Linked DNA regions of Elephas maximus indicus. The protein of the gene in region 2 interacts with the protein of the main gene of each other region in a pairwise test. Links are inferred from orthologs where the notes say so. Each region holds a gene or a part of one and is shown on either strand. Other genes may lie near its edges.

Region 1 (11,684 bases), on a different chromosome or scaffold from region 2:
TACTTCACAAGTGTTAAATGGTATCTCTCTTTACATTTTGGATTTATTTTTCCAGATAAGCCTAAAGGCAGGAGCTGATTTTAGTTTTCTTTATTAGTAAGGCTGAGAAATAACCTCTGTTTCAAATAATGATGCAACTGTGAGGACTGGGTAATTACAAGAAGCCTTATGCTTAAGTTATTTTATTTTATTTTACAAAACTATTGCGCCTATGGCACCATTTTAAGAGTTTTACAAGCACATTTCCTAAAAATAGGTGCTATTTCACTATAGGCTTCAAGCTCAAGGCTGATACAGTCCCCTAAAGGCAGATTATCACATAGAAGCTCAGAATATAAGTAATTTTCAAGAGAAAATAAAAATTATTTTCTTACTTATAAGGTCACATTCAACAGTTTACTGAGAACAGAACAGGTGTGGCAACTAGTGTAATGATTAAATTCACATGAACTGTTCATAAAATTAACTAATTAGTTTCACTACATTTCACTTACTTGGTATAACACTGGAGTGAAGAAAAACGAATTATAGGGCAATTCTCACAGATGGTAAAAAATGCCTGTAGGTAAAACATGACAGAACTCACATAAGCAAAAATGTAGCTCTTTTCTGAGATTTAAGAAAACAATGCTGCCAGATCTTTAATCAACTAAAATGTTATACAGAATTAATTAGTTACGATGTTCTTTTGAATAAACTGTACTAAGCGGTAAAAATCATACGTATTATAAATGTATGTATATGTTTCACATTGCTTTGAAATAAATTTACCTTCCAAAGCTATAGCTACATCTTGACACCAAAACAAATACAAGTTTATATTAATTTATTCAACCATAATAAAAGCAAATATTTTTAGTCACTGAATCACAGAGTCAGACTTTAAACTGTTAAGGTTTTTAAGTAGAATAAAGACCATTTATTGAGCACCAGTTATGCACTAGGCTGTCCACATACTTTATCTCATTTAACCCTATGGTATGCACAATCCATAACACTCATTCGAAATAGTTACCGTTTACCACTGGCCATTGATAAGGAAACAGGGACATAATAAAGTTAAATATTTAGCTCAAGGTTGGACAGTCAATAGATGGTAGGGTTGGGATTTGAACACAGGTCTAGCCGATTTTAAAGCCAATGCTTTCAATCATTTTAGTTTTGGAAACAAACAGGGACATGAAGTGATCACCCCAATTCAAGTAAGTTAACGACTAACGACAACCTCTTCATTTTTCCACTCTGGCAGTTGGCACATAAGGAATATCAGAAAAAAATGCACTGTGGCTTTCTCCACCTGTCTTATACACTGCTTTTCTTCTCACCAGTGGGATCTACACGGCAGGCAGGACTCGGCATCATTACTAAGACCACTGCATTTCTAGGGGTAAAGAACTTGAGGTGCACGTACTATTTTTGCTACTTCATCAAGTTGTGGGTACACCAGCACTACAGGTGATGTGATCATATTGTGGTAAGAGTGTTTTTTAGTTTACTGAATATCTTCCTAACCCTTATTCTATTCGATCTGCACAACTATCCTACGAGGTAGATAAAAACCTGCTGCCGCCGAGGCGATTCCGACTTATAGTGACCCTGTATGACAGAGTAGAGCTGCTCCATAGGGCTTCCAAGGAGCAACTGGTGGATTCGAACTGCAGATGAGGTAGATAGAGAGGCTATTATCAAACCCATCCTGTTTTTACTGATGAGAAAGGAGAGTCAGTGAAAGTCAACTCAGAAGTGGCAAAACCAGAGGTGAAAATGCATAATTTCTGACTCCTGGGCTTTGAACAACTGTATGTGAGTAAATCTTCACTGCTAATCACTGCCACCAGCAAGTTACACCTTTTTTCCAGTTCTTACTCAGATGTCAATGTGGGGGGGTGGGGTGGGGGTGAGAGAATCACTCAGAGAAACTGACAACCTTGAGATTTATAGAAATGATGGTAACAGATACGATGCTTCACCTAAAAACACAAAGAGTGTCCCAATCAAATGCGTTCAAAAAGAAAAATGGTTTTCATGTTTATGTAATAAATTAAAATTTCAAGACTTACTCCTAATACCTCTTTACTACACTTCCAGAAATTATACAGCCAATAGTCTCATACATCATGCTCTGAACGTTCTCAAAGCTCCAAGAGAACATTGAAAACTGGCAGTTAATAAACACGTGAAGGTAGCCGCTTGTTATTTCTGAATACATTTCAAGTTCTTTAGAACTCGAAGAATAAAAAAGCACGAAAAGGAAACCAAGCAGGGCATTAAAGTTAATGTTGCCAGCTGGCCTGAATTCAGACCATCAAGTGAGAGGAAGCGGATCACCTTGATCAGGAAAGGTCTAGCTTCTACTCAGGGCTGAGCAACGTCCAAATACTCACGAGGCCTCCTTTTAGCGTGATGATAAGACACACGCTAAGACCAAAAAATGCTAACCACTGTTCATTTCAGCAAACATTTCTTATCTGCCTTTTATACGCATAACTACCCCAGTGAAGAAGATTGGCTTTTTATTCAGGAACGTTATGGAAACGTTTGTTCACGAGTCCTCTTCTCGTGGGGTGGATTCTTTTTACTCAGGGACGTTATAGAAACACTTGCTCACTCGTGCTCCTCTCAGGGGTAGATTCTGAATCACGTGCAACTTATCATTCACTCCCCCTTCACCTCTTAAAAATAAACCACACGTGTAATGCATGTGCCCTACCGAATATCAGAAAAATTTTCTTAAATCACTTAGAATCCCTTCATCCAAAAAACCACTGTTAACATTCTGGTGTACGTATTTCTAGACTTTTTACTGTTACGGTGTACATATATCTTACATTTACAAAAATGGGAATATGGTACCCAAAGCATTATTTTTTTTAAAAGCAATTTACAGCATCTTTCCACCTGTCATTCTTTTTCAAACAACAACAAAAAATTTTCAACCGACAACAAAACACAATACACATAAAGGCAGTTGGCACTTATCAAATAGATGATCCACCTTTGATACTTCATGCAACGTAAATATTCTCTTAATTCGTGCAAAAGTCTTTACAATGGAAACCTACACTTTCATACCAAGGAGCTTAAAAAACCCTCTTTTTCGCTCTCGTTTAAAATAATCACGTTTTCCAGGTTGAAAACTAATTGAAACACAAAAACGCTGTAGGAGAGCCTGAACTAGGTAGAACCCACTACTTGTCCAACTTCGTATCAGTCTTTGCTGAAGTAGGTGATCATAAGTATTTGATTGCTTAGCTACTTTCAGTGCGGTACCCATCTTTATCTCTCTGCAAAGAGTTATCTGCTTCGTAGGACTCGTGTTCCCAGGCTGTACCTAGAAACAGAACCGAGCAGGGTTTATCAGCACCCCGGTGGCATAGTGGTTAACAGTTACGGCTGCTAACCAAAAGGCCGGCAGTTCGATTCCACCAGGCGTTCCTTGGAAACCGTATGGGACAGTTCTACTCTGTCCTATAGGCTCTCTATGAGTCGGAAGCCACTGGCCAGGTTTGATTTTTGTTTGGTAACACAGCGTTAGACCACATGCTGGAGACCTGAGCGCCCACGCCTGCTTTCTGCGGCTGCGGCTCGCGGGCGGCGCGAGCACCGGGTGCGCTCCAGCTGAACGAGGGTCGCGATCCGCCCGCCGGGGCCCAAGGGCCTGCGTGGCACCGAGGGACGCCCGGAGCCCGGACGCCGCACGACAAGCCCGTCGCATGGGCCGGCCAACAACTGCCAGGACCCAGCTGTCTCCGGCCCCACGCCACGCACCGGCCTGTGCGGGCCGGGGACCGGCGACAGGGGCCGGCGCTGAGGGGCTACCAGGACCCGACCCCAGAGGCGCCACAAAGAAGAAAGTCAGCAGAGCGCCGAGGCGTCCCCCGGAAGGGGTGGAACGGCCTTCGGGATGGAGGAGGGAGGCGCCATCCCGCCATAAAACGAAGCAGGTTTTCACGCGAACGGAGCCATCCGGCCCTTCCCGCCGTCTCCCGGCCGCTGCGGCGCCCGCACGCCCACATCCCCTGCAGCCGCCCGCGCCCGGCCCGCCCGCGCCTCCATCACACTCACCGGCGCCTCGGGGCCCGGCCGGCCGGCCCAGGCGCAGCGCGAGGCGGCGTTGGCCCAGGCGCCCCGGCCCCGCGGCCCTGCCCGCCGACAGAGGGCGGCGCCGCTCCGGCCCTCGCGCTCCCCGCGCCCCTCCGGGCCGGCCTGCTCCCTCCGCGCGCCCACGCCCTGCCCGCCAGGCCCCAGGCCCGGGCTCCGGGCCGCACTCACCGCCCGGCTCCGCGCCTGCGCCGCGCACCTCAAGGGACCGCCGAGAGGGCGGGGAGGCGAAGAGGTAAGGCCGAGGGCGGGGAGTGGGTGCGCGGCCTCGCCGCACTCCAGCCTGGGAGGGACCACCGGCCTCCAGCCCCGGGGGTGGCCCGGCGGCCCGCGGGCCCTGCCGGCACCTCTGAGCCGCCGGAGGCCTCTTCCGGGCGGGGTGCCGCCCCTCCCGAGCGGCGCGGGGGCTCCCTCCCTCTGGGACGGCTCCGGGCCAAGCCGCAGAGGGCGCTTCCCCTTGCCGCCCTGGGCGCTCCCTCCCGGCCCCGCGGACGTGGGCGAAGCGCCGGGCGAGCACCCCTTTTCCCAGACTGCTCCTGCAGGGGAAGTACGTAAATGGTCTTGCCCAGGTTGGGGCAGGCAGAAGGCCTGGCAAACCCCAAAGAGTACCCGCAGCCGGTTGGGGACGCCAAGGGGCAACGTCAGCGTCGTGGTTTTGTTGAAGCCCCAAAGAACCACGCAGGGCTGGGATGCTGTCGTCGGGGCCGGAAGGTGAAAATCTTTAAGGTCAATGAAATTAAAGTTGTTTAGGCTTCAGCTGTATTCCTGGGCTCGAGAAATCTCGTAGAATCAGTGTGGACTCAGAGGGGATTAGATTAGCCGACCGAGCCCCCTTTCCAGCCTTTAGGTTCTGTGAGCAGATCTAGAGCCTAAAGAGGTAACTGGGCATAAATAAGCTTGGGAACACGGTTTCGATAAAAACGAGCGTGGACATATATTTAACTGAATCCTCACAACTTGTTTCTGTTGTTGTTCCCAATTCACAAATTAGAAAATAAGTCTGTGAGGAGCTAGAGACTAGATCTTGCTCATTTTTGTAGCCTCAGCATCCAGAGTTCAAATAAATTTGAAGTGAAGGAATGAATGAGGCCCCTCAGGATTATCACGTGCCCACAGTCACTCGGATAGTCGTGCTGGAACCCGGGTCTTCTTATCCAGGTGCACTGTGCTTATTCTGATTACCACATGCTTATCCAACCAAAAACTAGGTCATAATAATCACAGACCCTACTCAGATCCTGTCACATTAGCTAGTGCTGCTATAACAGAAGGACCACAAATGCTTGGCTTTAACAAACAGAAACGTATTTTCTCACGGTTTTGGAGGCTAGAAGTCCGAATTCAGAGCGCCAGCTCGAGGGGTAGGCTTTCTCTCTTCCCCGACTCTGAAGGAAGGTCCTAGTCTCTTCAGCTTCTGCTTCCTGGTTCTTCGGAGATCTCCAAGTGGCTTGGCATCTGTTTTATCCCATCTCTCCTTTTGCTTGCTTATTTAATCTCCTTAATGTCTCAAAAAAGATTGACTCAAGACACACCCTACACTAATCTTGTCTCAACAAAGACAGCCCATTCCCAAATGGGATTATAATCATAGGCATACAAACTAGTATTTACAACACATATTTTTGGAGGCCAAAACTCAATCCATAACAGATCTCGCTTAAAAAAAAAAGTCACATTTGGAAGAACATGACTTGTTTGTGAGGCCAGTTTTTGTGACCTCGTAACTTTTATGTGTGCTCAGCCCAAGTAAACAAATGTTCATGAATGCTACTGGCATGGCCTGAATAAAGTACAAAAATGTTTGATTCCTAGAGCTCAGCTACTAGGGAAAGATTGGCAGCTTGGACCCACCCTATAGCCTCAAGGAAGAAAGGCCTGGTGATCTGCTTCTGTAAAAGATTACAGGCAAGAAACTCAGCTCAGTTCTACTCTGAACACATGGGTCTCCATGAATCGGAATCGACTTCACAACAACTTTTTTTTATAGTTAGTACCTGGCACGAAATAGAAATCAATACTTGTTTCCGGAATTTGTAAAGAACCTTATGTATCATTCCCTCCTCCCTGGCTCTACTGTTCCCTGTGTTCTGCAATGGAAGCCACGAGGGGTGTCACTGAACCATCAGTCACTGTCTTATTCACACATAGCTTGTGCCAAACAAAAGCTTTACATTCGGAGGTGAAGTACCATTGCAAAACATTTTGTATTGAGCACAAACATGTTTTTTCCTAAAAACAACAAAAAAAAAAGAAGTCTCTCATTCTTTTCCATTTACTCGATGAAGTAAATAAGGAGCATTACAGTGTTCAGAGGTCATTTAACATGATCACAAATTGAAGGCAATTTAAAATTCTTTGGTTAACTGGAGTACAATTTCTAGTTTAATTTTTGCTCTCCTGTCTTCGGGTTCTCTAGAGAAAAAGAACCAGTAAGAGATTTACTTCAAGGGATTGGCTCATGTGATTGTGGAGCTGGCAAGTCCAAAATCCAAATGTCAGGCTTCAGCCTGGAGATTTCTTCAGGCTTTCATCCCATGATCTGAAGGGTCAGGCGAAGAGAGAAAGGGATCTGCCAAAATGTCTGTTTGTAGTCTGGTGACAAACCACACCCTAGGGAAACTCTCCATCCAACTAATGATTGATTGCATTATGGAAGGTGATTTAATTACTTTAGATTAGACAGCTAGTCTGTTGTTAGGTGGCCTCGAGTTGGTTCCGACTCATAGTGACCTATGTACAACAGAAAGAAACACTGCCTGGTCTTGTGCCTTCCTCACAATTGTTGTCACCACTATGTCAATCCATCTGTTGAGGGTCTTCCTCTTCTTCGCTGACCCTCTGCTTTACTAAGCGTGGTGTGCTTCTCCAGGAACAGGTCCCTCCTGATAACACGTCCAAAGTAGTGAAACACAGTCCTTCTTCCAAGACAGATTTGTATGTTCTTCTGGCAGTCCATGGTACATTCAATATTCTTCACCAATACCGTAATTCAAATGCATCAGTTCTCCGGTCTTCCTTATTCATTGTCCCGCTTTTGTATGCATGTGAGCCCAATGAAAATACCATGGCTTGGGTCAGGTGCACCTTAGACCTGAAAGTGACAATCTTTTTAGAAGTAGATTGCCAGGTTCCTCTTCCTAGTCTTAGTCTGGAGGCTCCACTGAAACCTGTCCACCATGGGTGACCTTGCTGCAGTGGTGTCACTAGGTTTGATGCCACCCAGTGCAGTAACTCATGGTGTTACCCCCCGCCCCATGGGCCTCCTCCGTACCAGGTTCAAAAATACTAATTACCACAATATTGTAGCTAAAACACCAGAAAACTTGACAAACCCAGTGACTATAGAACACCGGCAGCAACAGCGTGTGCTTGTAGCACCTGCAGACGAAACCACGTGATTCGAAGCGCCATTGTGACTGGGTAATAAAGACAGCTCTGACCAGAGCGCATTAGAAGGTTCAAAAAATAAATTAGCATAGAAGCTACTACATGTAAGCTGGGCTTACGAAAAGTGTGTTATTGTTATGACTAATTACAGGGATATTTTTATAAAAAATAAATTTCTACTGAAACACTGCACAAAATTTTATAGACAGTCATTTTGGTGTCATCCCAGGTGGTCTGCAGCCCTCGCATCACCCTCATGATGCCATTGCCCTGCTGATGGTTGCAATACCAGTGGCATAGCTTCCATCATCCCAGCAACATGCAAGCCATCTGTGATGGTTAAGGTTGTGTGTCATCCTGGCTGGGCCATGATTCTCAGTGGTTTGGCAGTTGGATGATAATGTGATCACTTCCATGATGAGATTTGATGTAATGTGATCACCTCCTGCAGCTGGCTCCTGTTCTTTTGGCCTCCCGTTCTTGGGACATGAGCTTACAGCTTCCCTGCTGTCTTGCCTGCCGATCTTGGGATTCATCAGTCTTTGCAGCCGGGAAGCCAGAGCCCTGCTGTCTGACTTGCCGATCTTGGCTTAGCCAGTCCCTGTGGCTACCTGAGTCAGGAGAAGCCTCTAGCCTGACCCACGTTCCAGCCTCTACAACCACGTGAGTCATTTCCTTAATATAAATGTCTCTTTCTATATATTTGGAGCCCTGGTGGTGCAGTGGTTAAGAGCTCGGCTGCTAACTAAAAGATTGGCAGTTCAAATCCACCAGCTGCTCCTTGGAAACCCTATGGGGCAATTCTACCCTGTCCTATAAGGTCACTATGAATCACGTATTTATGTATTTATATGCTTTACTGGTTTTGCTTCTCTTAGCGAACGCAGCCTAAGACATCCTCACAGTATGACATTCACAGATGAGTGGTGGGCAGCTTGTCTAGTATTTGGCTGAACCACCGGGAATCATAGCTTGGCCAACTTGACACATAAAATTAATCCTTACATCTCCTTTTTCTAATTCTCCTTTTCAGGGAGGGTGGCCATGGGGATAAAACTATGAAATCTCAAAAGACTACCAAATTGTACAGTTTACCAGTTCCTATTATAACTCTGACTGAGCCCAAAAAGCCAAACCCATGGCATTGATTCCAATTCACAGTGATCCTGTAGGACAGAGTAGAACTGCCTTGTAGGGTTTCTGAAGCCGCAAATCTTTATGGAAAGAGACTGCCACATCTTTCTCCCACAGAGCAGCTGGCGGTTTTGAACCGCCAACCTTTTGGTTAGCAGCTGAGCGCTTTAACCACCGTGTCACCGGGGTCCTTAACTTTGACTGAGGGGGTATTTAATCATCATTCTTCCAACTTCTTGCCACACTGATAGCTTAGCTTAATTTTTTCCTGATTAGAGTAGGGATACATGCTTCTTACAAAATGCAGACAATAGCAAAATGTAAGGAGCAAAAGAAATTTACCATAATCCCATAACCCTGAGCAAACCAATGGTAACATTTTACTCTATAGCTTTCCATTATTTTTATACCTATGTACACACATAGACTTTTTTTTTCAAAATCAGGGTATTATTGTTTATGTTGTTTTGTGACGGGTTTTTTTTCTACTTTGTTACTTGAATATTCCTTAAAGCCCACTACCATCGGGTCCGACTCATAGCGACCCTACAGGACAGAGTAGAACCGCCCCATAGGGTTTCCAAGGTGGATTTGAACTGCAGCCCTCTTGGCTAGCAGCCGAAGCTCTTAACCACTATACCACCAGGGTTTCCGAATATTCCTTATGCTATCAGAATGTTAAAGGGCACCTTAATTAGTGGACATTCGAGTTGTTTCAATTTTAAAAAATGCTTTGCCAATTTGGTAAGTAAAATATAATATACCATTTTAATTTTTTTTGATGAAATTGAATTTTTCTCCTGTGTTTATTGGCCATTTGTATTTTTAAATTTTGAGTTTGTCTTCTATTTTTCTATAGGCTATTAATTTTTTTTTATTTTTAATTAAAATTTTTAGCCTTTTGTCTGTGATATATATTGCAGATATTTCTTTCCAGTTTGTTTGCTTTTAATTCTGTTAATGCACAAACATTTCGAATTGTGGTGAAACCAAGCCTATCAATCTTTTCCTTTATAGGTTCTGTTGCTGGCCTTATGCGGAGGATAGTCTTCTAGCCAAGATCTAGTTACATTTTCTACCTTATCTGTAATTTATTTTGGGGGGATGAGATGGAGAGAGCTATTTCTTTCTGTCATTGTTCTTTGTTCTTATTTCTCCGCATCTTGTAAAACAGCCTGAAATTAAATTTGCAAGCATAAAAGAGCTTCAGCTGATACTCCAGTAACCCATCGGAATCACCCGCAGGTCTTGTTAAAATGCAGGTTTCTGGGCTCTATTTCCAGAGCTTCTAATTGGGTGGATCTGAGGGGGGACCTGAGAGTTTGCATTTCTGACAAGTTCCCGGATGAGTGCGGATGCTGCTGGCCTAGGGACCACACTTTGAGAACCACTGTTCTAAGATTTTCCCCACCCGCCCCCACCACCAGTTGCCAGTTAAGTTGACTCTGACTCTTGGTGACCCCACGTGTGGCAGAGTAGAACCACACTCCATATAGTGTTCAGTGGCTGAGTTTTCAGAAGTAGATTGCCAGGCCTTTCTCCCAAGGCACCTCTGGGTGGACTCAAACTACCAACCTTTCAGTCAGCAGCCAAGCACATTAATCGTTTGCACCACCCAGGGACTCCCCACCCACCCCATACTAGCCAAATACTGCTTCTCACCACTCCACAGATAAGCTCTCGCTCCTTCTCACCTGTGTGCTTCAGCACGTTTCTCTTTCCTGCAGTCTGTTTCCTCTGTTTCTGTAAGATCACGCTCAAATTCTTTCTTCTATGAAATTTCTAATTCTCCCTGTAGCAGAGATGCCTGCTAAAGGATTCCACAGTACTTGGTACCTGAATCCACTTTTCACCAGAGATGCATGTGCTCTGAAAGTAATGAAGCTTAAACTTCATGTCCTCTCAATCGTGTGAACATTTTCCGATTCAAGACACTTTTGTGTTTATAGTTGTATATTATTTCTTAAATCAGTCTTCAAGTTGGGATAAGCTTCTGTCCTCACAAAATTTGGCTCCATCCCTTCTTGTCACATTATGCCTGTGAGTTCTTCTCTTTCAGTCTGTTCCATCTCACCATTTAGCACAGTGCCTTGCATAGCACCTCATTCACTTTTTCAATCGAGTATTCATTGCATATTAACCTTGTGTCCAGCTCGTACTACATACTGGGGATACAGTGTAAGTGAGGTACACATGGCCGTGACCCTTACAGCCTTGTAGGGAAGATATGCACTTAAACAGCACAAAATGTGATGACTAAACTTACATGAGCCAAGTAAAGAACGTTATGGAAGCATGTAGCATGGAGCCTAGCTTGGTCTAGGAGTCCTTGGGTGGTGCAAAGGGTTGAGCACTTGACTACTAGCTGAAAGGCTGGTGGTTCAAACCCACCTAGAGGTATGTTGGAAGACAGGCCTGGCCATCTGCTTCCATGAGTCAGAATCAACCTGTTGGCAATTAATGACAGCTTTGTCTAAGGAGGGTGAAAAGTAAGGAGCCTAGGCATTCAACTTATTGAATGAATTGATATTCTGTCCTGGCCATCTAGCTTGTTGACACCAGCACAGATCTGACTGGGTCACATACTCATAACTCATACGTGAGGCAGTGGTATCCCAAATCAGGGACCTCAGGTACTCAACAGAGGCACCTGGATTCCATCGTTCCAAACCACCTACACAGCAGAGTTCCTCCATAAGCTGTCTTCAAAACCAGCAAGCCCAGATCTAGACAGCCAGTCAACCCACTCAGACACTTAGCTTTTTGAGGATGGGACAGAGACAGTCTTTTGGCTTTTTTAAAAAAGACTTTCTCCTTCCCTAAATCTCATCCTGAGTCCTGGATCAGGGTCTCTGCTTGACTATAATACTTTTGCACTTAGCGCTCAATTCTCAATTTCCACTGAAACAAACAAACCCAAACCTGTTGCTGTTGATTCCGATTCGTTGTGACCCTATAGGACAGAGTAGAACTGCCCCATAGAGTTCAGTCTCCAGTCCCCATTAGTGTTTATTCATTCTTTAACAGAATGAATGAATATGTGAATGAATGAATCAAATCTG
Region 2 (11,510 bases):
CGGAGGTCAGGGGTCAGGGCATCTCACCCCCAGGAAATCCCACGGCGACGACCACCTCAGAGTCAGAGCTCAGAAGGGAGCTGGATTCAGGGAAGCAGAGAGGCCCTGAGGAGGCAACGGTCCTCTGGGGGGCCGGACAGGAAGGATTAGACCCCAGCCCATTCCCATAGGGCTCCCCTCCCACCAGAACGTGGGCCTCACCGGGTCAAAAGCTGGGAGCTCAAAGCTGGCTGCAGGCCACTTGAGAAAGAACTCCTCGGGTGTGGTGAAGGTCAGATCGAGGTTGAGGGCAAACTGGGGGTGAGGGCAAAGGTAAGAGGGGGAGCCAGGGAGCCCAGAGGGCAAGAATGGGGGCGGGACCTCACCAAGCGGTCTGCACAAGAGAAGTCTTTCTTCTTCCGCCCAGGGGCCCAGTTTGCGGGGCGACCAGCAGCGTCTGAAACAGCAGGGGACACATACTGCCTCCACCAGCAACTGGTGACAGCGGGGGCCCCAGGGTCCACAATTTCCCCCAAGCTCCCAGGCCCTTACCCCCGACGAAGAGGCTATCCTCAATGGAGATGGGCATGCCCTCATTGGCCTGGGGGGACAGGAGGATGGACAGCAGGCAGTAAGGAGCCATTCCTACACCTCTGTTCCCCCTAAAGCATCAACAGTCTAAAGTATTAGTTTGATCTTTTACCCTACATGTTCCATAGCCAATCTCTCAGACCACCATCCCACCACTTTGCACCACCCCCCACTTCTGCCCTCACTCCTGGTGTGTTCCCCATACAAAGGCGCTCAATACCGCTTACGTCCTGTGCTTCAGCTCAGAGACCCCCTGTGGCTCCTGCCTCCCTGAGTCAAAGCAAAGTCCTAACGGTGGCTTCCACAATCCCCACATCAGGTACTCTCTATTCAGTTCCCTCTCTGCCTTCATCCCCTGTCCTCGACCACTCAGTTCCAGCCACACTGGCCTCCTCCCTGTTCCTCTTATACTCCAAGCCCACTCCTGCCTCGGGGCCTTTGCACTTGCTATTACTTCCTCCTGGAAAGCTCCAGATACCCCCATAGCTCTCTCTCTCTATTCGTTTAGATCTTCATATGTCACCTGCTCAGAAAGGCCTTCCCTGACCATCTGAGCTAGAATAACACCCCTGGTTTTACCTTGCTTCATTTAGTTGGCCAGCCTCACTGGGATGTGAGGGCTGATGGGGCTGGCATGTCTGTCTTGCTCACTAAATATCTCTAGCCGAAGAATATGTTGAATTTCAGAACAAACGTAAACATGAATGAATGAAGGAATGAGTGAACGAGTAACAGCTAAAACTGGAGAAAACCACGTGATGAGAGCTGAGCAAGAATACCAGAGAAATGAGAAGAGGAGTAAGAAGGGGGAGGCCGGGCAGGGAGTGAGGAGCTGGAAAGATAAGGAGAGCAACCCTGAGGACGGGCAGAGAAAGGCAGCAGCTTACCTGCTCCTGCAGATGGTCCCACATGCCAGTCACTGGTTTCCGGTACAAGCCAGCATGAGTGGCCACCAAAACCTATGGGTGGCAGGGGGCTCAGATCTCATCCTTAGCTCTTCCTTGAGCACCCAGCATCCTTTGAGGGTACAGGGCCCCACTGGATACTATCCCAACCCTCACCAACCCTGGACAGCACCCAGTGCCCAGACTTTGCAGTTTATGATGGGTATCTGTCAGCCTAACCTCTCACCCCAGGGTCTCTGTCCCTCTCTCTCTGGCTCTCTGGGTCTCTGTTCCTCTCTCTCTGCATCTCCACCCCCCTCTCTTTCTGGACCTCTGTTCCCTCTCTCCCTGGGTCTCTATCCCTCTCCGCAGGTTTCTAAACCCCCACAGGGCCCCTAGCCTCCCTTCCAGCCATACCTGGAAAGGAACACCAAGCTTCTCCACCACAGCCTCCACCTTGGCCTTGAACTCCTCTGCTGGCAGCTTCCCGCGCCCGATGCCCATCTGGTTGGTGAAGATCACCAGCTGGGGAGCAGATGGGTGTCACCCGTTGCCTCTGTCCCCAGGGCCCCTCCTCACCAAGGCCTGGCTGCTGCATGCGTATGTGCGTACACACACACCTTGTAGCCCTCGGCTTCCAGCTCACGGAGCTTCCGCGGAATCTCAGGGTACAAGATCCTAGGACAGGTGGGGAAGTGGCAAGGGTGACCTGGGGCCCAGAAGTGGATGCAGGTGTCCCTTTCTCCCTCCCCTCTTCTCACTTCCAGTCGCTGGGGCCGGTGGGAAAGACCTTCCCAGAGCGTGTGGTGATGAGAGTCCCATCCAGATCAAAGCTGGCCACCTGGCATTGGGAGAAAGAGGAACGGCAGCTCTGTCATCCCCCTCGTTCTCCTCGCTCACAGGCTGACTCACAGCCGCCCTGCGAGGGAGGCATGCTTACCATCCCCGTTTTACAGGTGGGAAGACCAAACCACAGAAACCGTAAATGTCTCATGCCTCATGCGCAGTGAGGATCCTCTGAGCGCAGAGCCTGAAATTGGAACTTTACTGGTTCCCATTCCTCTTCTGGAGCCCTGGTGGTGCAGTGATTAAGAGCTACAGCTACTAACCAAAAAGTCAGCAGTTCAAATTCACCAGCTGCTCCTTGGAAACCTTAAGGGGCAGTTCTGCTCTGTCCTATAGATCACTATGAGTCAGAATTGACTCAAAGGCAACGGGTTTGGTTTTTTAAATTTATTCCTCCTCTGCCCCTCAGTCTTCCAGTCTTGAAAATGGGGGTTAATATCTTGCCCACCCTCTTCCTCTGGGCTCCTCCACCTCAGAGAGTTAATTATCATGAAAATAAGAACAGGAGCTGAGTTTTATTTGGGTGTTAGCTGTTGCCACATCCTTTTAATGGATTTATCATTTGAGGAGGGAGGTGGGGCTCAGAGAAGCAAAGCAGCTGCCCTCTGCTGGAATGTGGAGGGAACGGTGTTTGAACTCAAGTCTCTATGGTCCTAAACACCACACCCAACCCAATAACTACCCCCCAAATCCCCAGCCGTTGCCATCGAGTGGATTCCAAGTTATAGCGACCCTATAGCTCCTGCGAAAATGACCGTGATCACCATGTAGTTACTGAGTCAGGCAGAAGTTGATGTACACCGTTTTCTCCATGGCTGAAAACCACTCCTGAATTTGTCACCAGGCCCATTTCGCAGAAGAGGAAGTGGAGGCTAGGAGAGGTCTAGTGACTTGAGAAAGAGCACCCAGCAAACTTAGGTTGAGCCCTCAGTCTGTGGAGGCTCCCACAGCGCTCAGCTTAGCCCTCACCTTGCCCTGGGCCTTCACCCCAGGTGCCGTGAACACCAGCAGCTTCTCGAAGCTTTCCCAGCCTGGGGATGACTTCCGCATCCGCTTTTTCCGCTGCTCGGTACCCTCCTTCACGTCTGGGTCCACCGGAGGGGTGCCGGGTGGAGTGTCTGGCTGGGGTCCTGCTGTGCAGGCCTCTTCCCAGCGCAGGATCAGGGGGTGGAGGCCGTTGACCAAATACAGCGTGTCCCCCACCCCCAGAGAGCCCTTCAACCCCGGGTTCAGCTCCTGCGTCCCCGCAGTTGAGGGGTTGACTCCCAGCTGCAGAGGAAGAGAGAGGAGCTGGAACTGGCTGCGCCCCAACCAGGAACCTCCTCCAATCACACACCGTGGGGAAGCACTTGCATGGGTCAACCTTATTGGCCACACCCCCTCCACTCTTAGCGAATCAGATTTTTCCAATGGGACCTTTTCCCTGCTGGGTTGAGCTTCCTCCCCTAACTCCTACCCCTCCCCCAGGTCTTGCTGCCCCTTGTTGGGATCCTGGTACCTGTTTCACGGCCACTGTCCGGGTCTCAGGGTCTGCAACCAGCTCCACTGAGAGTGAGGAGGCAGAGTCAGGATTTGCACCCTTGTGTGATTGGTTCCCTGATTAATGGGGGCGTGGCCAGCTTCGGGCGACAGGATTGGGCTACCAGCATCCTTAGCGGAGTAGGAGGCATAGTTTATTTTTGAATGCAACTGGCTCATTCCTTGACAGATTGAGGCCCTAGGGTTGCCTGCGACCTCTGATCCGTGCCTAAGGTCAGGACGGATGCTTCTCTCCATAGGATCGGTTCTTTTCTTGACAAGGGTCGTGGCCTGTTTCAGGCCTTCACAGTGTCCTGTGAGCATCCTTCTCTGCCCACTGACAAGTTTCCTGGCATTGGCTCCATCCCCTCTCCCCAAAAGGGTATGGCCAATTCCACGTCAGGCACAACCTTGCTCTTCCTGTGCTCCCCAGAGGTCATCTACCAACTTAAGCATTGCCTGCACCACGCAATTCAGCCTAGCAGCCAAGCTACCTCCCTAGGGGCTTGCTTTCCCTTTGACTGTGTTCCCGTCCCCTGACGCAGGCCACACCCCCAAGGCGCAGGTCCCGCCCACCTTGGTTTCGTGAACACTTCCGGTCGGTGACTCGAGTCAGAGGTCCCCGACCCAGGATGAGGGCTTGCCCGTCCGTGGGCAAGAAGATGGGAGGCGCCCCCCCAGGGGGACTCTCGAGCCACAGGCGACCATGGGCCTCCAGCTCGGCCATCCTGGGACGAGGCCTAGGGACAAGTAGGTACACGAGTTTGAATGGCAAGTCTGAGCCCCGCCCATCCTCCTACCTGGCTCGTGGGAAACCCCGCCTTTTTGGTTCCTTCTGAAGGCCGGCTCGGCCCACAGGAAGTCCCGCCTCTTGACACTTCCTCGAAGTCCCGCCTCCTCCGAACTGACAGCAGTTCCCCACCCTCCTACAAGAATGTCCTCTGTTCCGGAAATCCCACCCCTTCGCTGGCCAACAGCTCGCGCTGTTTCCCAGGCGACGACGCCTGGCTCCCTCCCGCCGCGAGTCAGGATCCCAAACTCCCAGAGCCAGAGCCGAGAGCATCGCGCGCGCCCCCCGCCCTACCACCACTCTCACCTGTGCACGCCGTTCGGATTCAAGCGCCACTTCCTACCAGAGAATTCCTACCAGAGGCGTTCCGCCCACAACTCGGCCCGCCGATTTCTCAGTTCCGCGGAGGACGGAAATGACTAGCTCCACCGAGAGGGGCGGGGCCTTGGTTCCTCCCACCACTGCAGCCCCGCCTCATCCCAGATATAGGGCGGTTCCTCGTCAGCTCTTTTTCTCTTGCCGCAATGTTAGGCTCCGGCCAGTAGGGGAGAGTGTGTCCTCTGTTCACAGATTTTTCTGTACCATGTTGAATTATGTATTTCTTTTGCTGGAGGTAGATACAATGGGAAGTTCTCTTCCCCACTTGAAGTTCGTTGTCAGTACCCCAGTACCCCCGACAGCATCCCTAGTCTTAAAAGATTGTTCTCTTGCTTTAACCTCGATGCTGCAGTTTTGTCACCTATAAAGTGGGGGATAATCGTCTCCACGTCGTGGGTCTAATAGAAAACCAAAGGAGTTAATACGTGCAGATAGCTTAGAAAAGCATCAGGGTTTTAGTAAGCCATCTTTAAATGTTGTCTGCTAGCATTCCTCCGGTGGTGTCCGTTGGCAAATGGGGGTTCCATGTTTACTTTATCGAGTCCTAACTTCCGACCAGGTTCTACCTGCTTTATAAACCCCAGCCCTCCTCTTGTGGTAGGAAACTACCGGCTGCAGCTGGAGGTGCTTGTCTTTGCTGGGCAATATGTGAGCTAGTTAAGGAGACTGATTCCTTAAAACCACTCTGGTCCTAACACTCATCCCCCAGGAGATTGGGGCTCCACGGCCAGAGACCCGAAATCCTAAGCCCCTCCAGCCCCGTAAATTTCCACTCCTTTGTATGTAAAATGGGGACAACTACCCCACCTCCCAGCTTTGCGGTAGGAATCAGTGAGATGCTGATTCAGCTTGAGAACACGTTGAATAAACACCTCATACTCATTTGGCAGAGGTAAAACTCTTTAATCTCAGAGCCCCCCCTCTTAACGTCCGACCCATTACCCCACTCTCTCCTCCACATCAGGGCCGGAGAGTAAGGCCCCCTGCCCCCCACCTTGGGTGGACGAGGGCCCTTTAAGGCACCTTTGGGGTGGGGGAAGAGGGGTGGGAGCTGGTAACGTCCTGGACGCAAGAACGGACTTCGATTGGCAGGCTGTTGTGGGATGGAACCAATGAGAGGAGGTGTCAGAACGTAGAAACAAGATTGGACCACCCCTGAGGGAGCCAGAGGAACAAATCATCACGATTTGGCAAAGGCGAGCCCAGCCCCAGTAGTGTAAAAAACATAAATTGAAGACCACAGGCCAATCCAGGGCACGGGAAGCGGGCTTGGCCATGCCCTCAGTAGGCATGAACCAGTTAAATGGGAAAACTCGCGAAAGACAAAGGGTAACTCTCGGGAGATTGGTCAAGCACTTCACATGGCTCGAGCCAATCAAAAATGAAGAAGCGGCCCTGTCACTAGGCGGTAGATTACCACTGCCCAATCCTGGGGTTTGACTGTGCTGTTTCAGGGATGGAGCCCATGCCGAGCGAGCAAAGCTGTGTCGCTAGGCGGAAAACGGCGGGATGGACTCACTGAGTGTTTGCAACTAGCCACACCCCTGATAGGAGAGCCAGCCAATCCCTTAATGAAAGGACCGGTCGCTGCGCGAAGGGAGACAGACCAAATCAAGATACTGGACGGGCCCCCTTTCCTTGGCGCAGGAGGGGGACGCGGGCTGGGAGGGCATCCCGGTCACTAGGTGGGGACTGGCAAGGACGGTCAGTCCCGGGGCCCCAGGAGCCGTGGGGAGGCCGGTCCTGGACCTGCCTCGGATTGACGGGCCCCGGGGGCGGGGCGGGGGTGTAGTGTGGGGCGGGACGGCCGCAAGTCAGGCAGCGCCTGCACCGGCCTCAGTATTTCCGCTTCAGCTTCTGGAAGTCGCTCGTGTTGAGCCGCGGCCGAGGCAGGTCCCCAAAGACCTGGGTATCCTCGGCCTCCCGCAGCACCAGCGCGCGCATGCTCGCCGCGATGCGGTCCAGGTCCGGCGAGGAGGGCTGCGGAGAAGGCCACCAGGTGGTGTCAGCACAGAAAAGGGCCCTTTCTCACTCGCCTCTTTGCTGCGCCAACCCCCTCAGCCCCCACGCCCACTGCCAGGAATGCCCTTCACGCTTCTGTCCTACTAAGACACCAAACCCAAACCAAACCTGTTACCCTGGGGATGATTCCGACTCATGGTGACCCCACGTACTACAGAATAGAACTGAGCTCCACAGGGTTTTCTTGGCTGTAATCTTTACAGGAGCAGATTGCCAGGCCTTTTTTCTGCAGTGCCACTGGGTGGGTTCGAACTGTCAGTCTTTAGGTTCCTAGTAAAGCTCAAGCCGTTTGCGCCACCCAGGGAGACTCAGACACCACCTCCCCCAAGAAGCCCTCCTGCCTCTCCTCCTCCCCTTCTTGACCTGGTGCTTTGGGCAGCCACGGCTGTGGGACCACCTTCTCATAAACTTGTAACACTATGGAGGTGCCCTTTGTCTGCTGACCATTGGGGCTGAGTGCAGCCAGGGGGTCTGATCTTGAAGCCTTTGGGCTTGGGATTCAACTATGTTCCATTCAGGGCTCTGCCACATTACACAAGAGGTTTCACTGTACTAAGCCTCAGTCTCTACCTCTGAAAAATGGGTTAACAGGGTAATACAGAGGTCCTACAAGGGCTAAAATGAGACCATCAGCACAGTGACTGTTCCAGAAGGTGAAGTATCATGTCATCGGCACTCCTGAGCTGGACAGGGAGGGTCCCTCTTCATGTCCTCCTTCATAGGAGACTTCCGGAGTTGTCTTGCCATTCCATCTGCCCACAGCCCCAGCGCCTAGTGCTATCTCCATTATACCTCCTGTCACACTGAGCTGGAATGTGGCCGTCCCAACAGCAGAATGTGAGTGGACATCAGCAGAGGGGACCCGAGCTTGCCCTGAGGCCAGCGCAGGTACCCAGCACTCGGGGCCTCAAGTGCTCACTTAATTAACTGCATCTCTGCAAATCGCAAGCAGTAACCACAGCAGCAGCTGGACCGGGCAGTGTCCTTGGTTTCCAGCATCACTGGCTTGCTGGGCCCTTGGGACAGCCCATGAGTTTGCAGATGAGGACACTGAGGCCCAGAGAGATGTCATCAGGGAGGGAGGACCACGAGGACCCAGGCCTCTTCCTGCAAAGCCTACAGCTCCTTCCTAAGGGAAGCTGGGCTCTGATCCTAGGCCTGCCATTGACAGGCTGAGACCCCGCGGAAGTCACATGTCCTCTCAATGCCTCGGTTTCTTTCTGCTTCAGGGAACTTCAGTGATGGGTAACAAAGACCCACCCAGGCCAGGCCAGTCTGGGAAGAGGACAAGGGAGTGGGAAAGTCCCAGGAAAGACCAGCAATGTGAAGAGTAGGAGTAGGGGGTGATCTGACCCCTGAGCCTCAATTTCCCCATCTGGGGGGTTGCCAAGATGCTGTGTGGCAGGTGTCCTGCCCAGAGCAGGTGCTCTAAAAGTGGAGCTGTTCTCAGAGACGAGACAAAGCATGGAGACACATTATCAAGCTACAGTGGCTACAACTGCAGGCTTCGTGAGGTTGCTGTGAGGATCCATGGAGCTTTTTGCCCCGTGAATTTCAAGGCTCACCAGGAGCTGGAGTTCAATGCCTGAGGGGCTTTGTGGAGGAGGTGGCTGAGCATTTTCAGCTCCCCCTCTTACTTGCCTCCCCCTTCCATCTTCTCCCATGCATCCCTCACCTGCCCGTTCTCCTCATCCGATGACCGTGCCTCTGTCCTCTTCTCTTTGAAGGCCCAGATGGGCACAGACACGGGCAGGGATTTGGCGTACTGCTGCGTGGGTAGGGCTGAGGCTGGGGGCACCGAGTAGGTTGTGGAGCCAGCAGGGGTCTCCTCGCTCAGGCTGCCATCTGCAAGAGAGGGTGGGCCTCAGGCTCTGTCCCTGCCCTTGTCCTAGCCCCTCGGGGTGGAAGAAACCTCGGACACTCACCATCGGTGCTCTCAGGGTCCGACTCACAGAAGGGTGGCAAGTCCTGGAGGGTGGCATCCTCGTCCATCACAAAGAGCCCTGCAGATGGCACGAGAGGCTCGCGCCAGTTGGGTCCCCGCTGCATGCCATGCACCTCCTACTCCTGCCACTACCACTGCCTCCCTGCTCTCTACATTTGCTGGTTCCTTTCAAGCCTCAGGGCTTCAGCGATTACTGTTCCCTCTCCTGAGAACACTCTTCTCCTGGCTATCTGCCTGGTCCTCAGCAGAAATAAATCCAGCTTCTTTCTATCTGTTACACTCTCAGGTAAAAACAAGGGCAATTATGATCCCCGTTTCACAAATGGTGACCTGGAAGCACAGAGGGATTAAGTCACTTGCCCGAGGTACCACAGCTAAAAAGTAGCATCACTGGGGTATGAACCTAGGCTGCCTAGCTCCAGAGTATATTCCCTCAACCCTATGACGGTTTTCTTTAGCGATGTGAGGAGGCCAGGCATTGGTAATCGATAATAACGAAATAGTAACTCCTATTTATTGAGCAAAGGAGCCCTGATGGTACAGTGGTTAAATGCTCAGCTGCTAACAGAAACAACAGTGGTTTGAAAGCTCCAGCCATTCTGTGGGAGAAAAGACCTGGCAATCTGCTCCCCTAAGGATTACAGGCTTGGAAACCATTGGGGGGGCTCTACTCTGTCCTATAGAGTCACCGTGAGTTGGAATAGACTCGAAGGCCACGGCTTTCATTTACTGAGCCACCTGTAAATGCCTAAGAACCCTTCAGGGTCTAGTCTTATAACCCAGCCTCTGGGAAGCCTCCCACCTTCAAATTCCCATTAAGACAGCTGGCTGACCCCTCCCCTGGCTGCCTCAGCTATTAGTCACACCCCTTCCTCCTCTTTGGCCTCCCAGGCATTTGGTTCCCCAGATATGGAAACAACTCCTGATCTACTCATGCTCTCGGCTCAGGAGGCAATCCTCCCAAACCCTCAAGAAAAGGGCCAAGTGTGCTTGGTGTCCCCTCGGAGTGCTGAGCTGGCTCCAGATTACCAGAGTAAGGAAACAGAAACTTAGATAGAAATGACTTGCCCAGACCCCACAGTTAGCCAGGGGCAGGCCTGTGGGGCTTCCCGTCTCTTGAGGCTGCAGCTTCCCTAGATCATGAGTGCTGAGAAACAACAAGGTCCCGCTGGTGGAAAACCTGCTGGGGTGAGAAGAGCTTGCCCAACAGTGTGCTAGGCCAGCCCTGGCCCTGGACCCTCTCACCTCCATTATCGCTGATGCCCAGCCTCTCCCCGGAGGTCTCTGTCTCTGTTGGCTCATCCTCATCCTCCTCGTCCTCTTCCCTGGCCAGGGCTGGCTGGGGTGGGCTCTGCACAGGACTGGATGGCTGTGGCAATGGTGGGGGCACAGGGGGCCGGGCAGCAGTGGCCACCCCGTGGGCCAGGGCGATGTCGTGGAGGCAGCGACGGGTGGCTTCAGCCAGGGCTCCCCGGCCATGGGCTGCATAGGTGCAGGGGCCCGGGCGGAGGGGCGGTGCAGCTGTCAGCAGCACCAGCTCCGTGCCAGTCCGAGCCCGGAAACGCTCAGCAGCCCTTACCACAGCCTCCCACAGCTCCTCTGGGCGCCCTGACGCCATCCGCGCCCTGTAGGGCAGAGCAGGGCAGAGCTGGGCTCAGGTGAGGCGCCCAGACCTGCACTTCCCAGCTCCAACCCCATCTATCCAGCTGTCACTTGGAAGCTACTCAGACCCCGCCTACCTAGCTCATCCAGCTGCACTCAGCACCCTCCCCCAAACCCACTACTCTTCATCGATTCCATCTGGGGATGGCCTCACTGCCCACAAGGTCACTGGGCCAGGCCTCAAGGCACCCTCCTCAATCCCAGCCCCATCACTCCTGCCCCCCAAATCTCCATATCTGTCCCACCTGTCCCGACAGCCCCAGACTCTCCTATTGGATCTGCTCTGTCCACTATGGGAACCGCCAGCTATACAAGACGAAGAATGCAGCTGGTCCCAATTGAGATGTACTCTCGGTGTCAAGGGGCGCTGGTGGTGCAGTGGCTAAGTGATACAGCTGCTAATCAAAATGTCGACAGTTCAAATCTACCAGCTGCTCATTGGAAACCCTATGGGGAAGTTCTTCTCTGTCTTCTAGGGTTGCTATGGGTCGGAATCAACTCGAAGGCAATGGGTTTTGGGTTTTCGATGTCAAATACACACCAGATTTTAAAGGCATGCCTCAGCTTGGCAATGGAAGCCCTGGGTGGTGTGGCCCCACTCCCACAGCACAACCCATAGGGTCTACTCCAGCCCTACCAGAGCACCTGAGGCCTCCAGCCTTCCTATATGGGTCTCTCGTTCCTCATTAAAAATCTCCCACTCACCCTTTGCATATCAGGGTATTCCACCCCTAGGTGAGCCAAGCCCCTCCTTTGGGCTCCCACAATGCCAGAGGGACCCCCATTTCAGCACATACTGCTCTGGAGAGCTGGGAGCCTCCTGAGGGCAGAACTGCCATCTCTGAGCCCCTAGCCACGGCTGGCACATGCCAAGCCTCACAGAGCCGAAGTTGGA

Evidence for each region.
Region 1: the proteins of PNKP (region 2) and ZNF639 interact in binary tests that used the Homo sapiens proteins (3 or more experiments, as listed by UniProt). The two-hybrid records come from large-scale screens. The link is inferred for Elephas maximus indicus from reciprocal best matches to the Homo sapiens genes PNKP and ZNF639.

What each region holds. Positions count from the first base shown.
Region 1 is NC_064841.1:20,400,493-20,412,176, forward strand, and holds the start of ZNF639 (zinc finger protein 639), read right to left. Parts: upstream 4,360-11,684; 5' UTR 4,273-4,359; exon of another isoform or gene 4,146-4,272; intron 560-4,145; 5' UTR 495-559; intron 1-494. UniProt on the Homo sapiens protein: Binds DNA and may function as a transcriptional repressor.
Region 2 is NC_064829.1:100,303,758-100,315,267, forward strand, and holds the start of PNKP (bifunctional polynucleotide phosphatase/kinase), read right to left. Parts: upstream 5,032-11,510; 5' UTR 4,915-5,031; intron 4,559-4,914; 5' UTR 4,546-4,558; coding exon 4,395-4,545; intron 3,846-4,394; coding exon 3,799-3,845; intron 3,570-3,798; coding exon 3,270-3,569; intron 2,296-3,269; coding exon 2,216-2,295; intron 2,133-2,215; coding exon 2,075-2,132; intron 1,980-2,074; coding exon 1,872-1,979; intron 1,530-1,871; coding exon 1,458-1,529; intron 581-1,457; coding exon 532-580; intron 437-531; coding exon 366-436; intron 295-365; coding exon 202-294; intron 125-201; coding exon 28-124; intron 1-27. Other genes in the region: AKT1S1 (proline-rich AKT1 substrate 1), read right to left, coding at 6,823-6,966, 8,684-8,853, 8,934-9,011, 10,199-10,578. UniProt on the Homo sapiens protein: Plays a key role in the repair of DNA damage, functioning as part of both the non-homologous end-joining (NHEJ) and base excision repair (BER) pathways.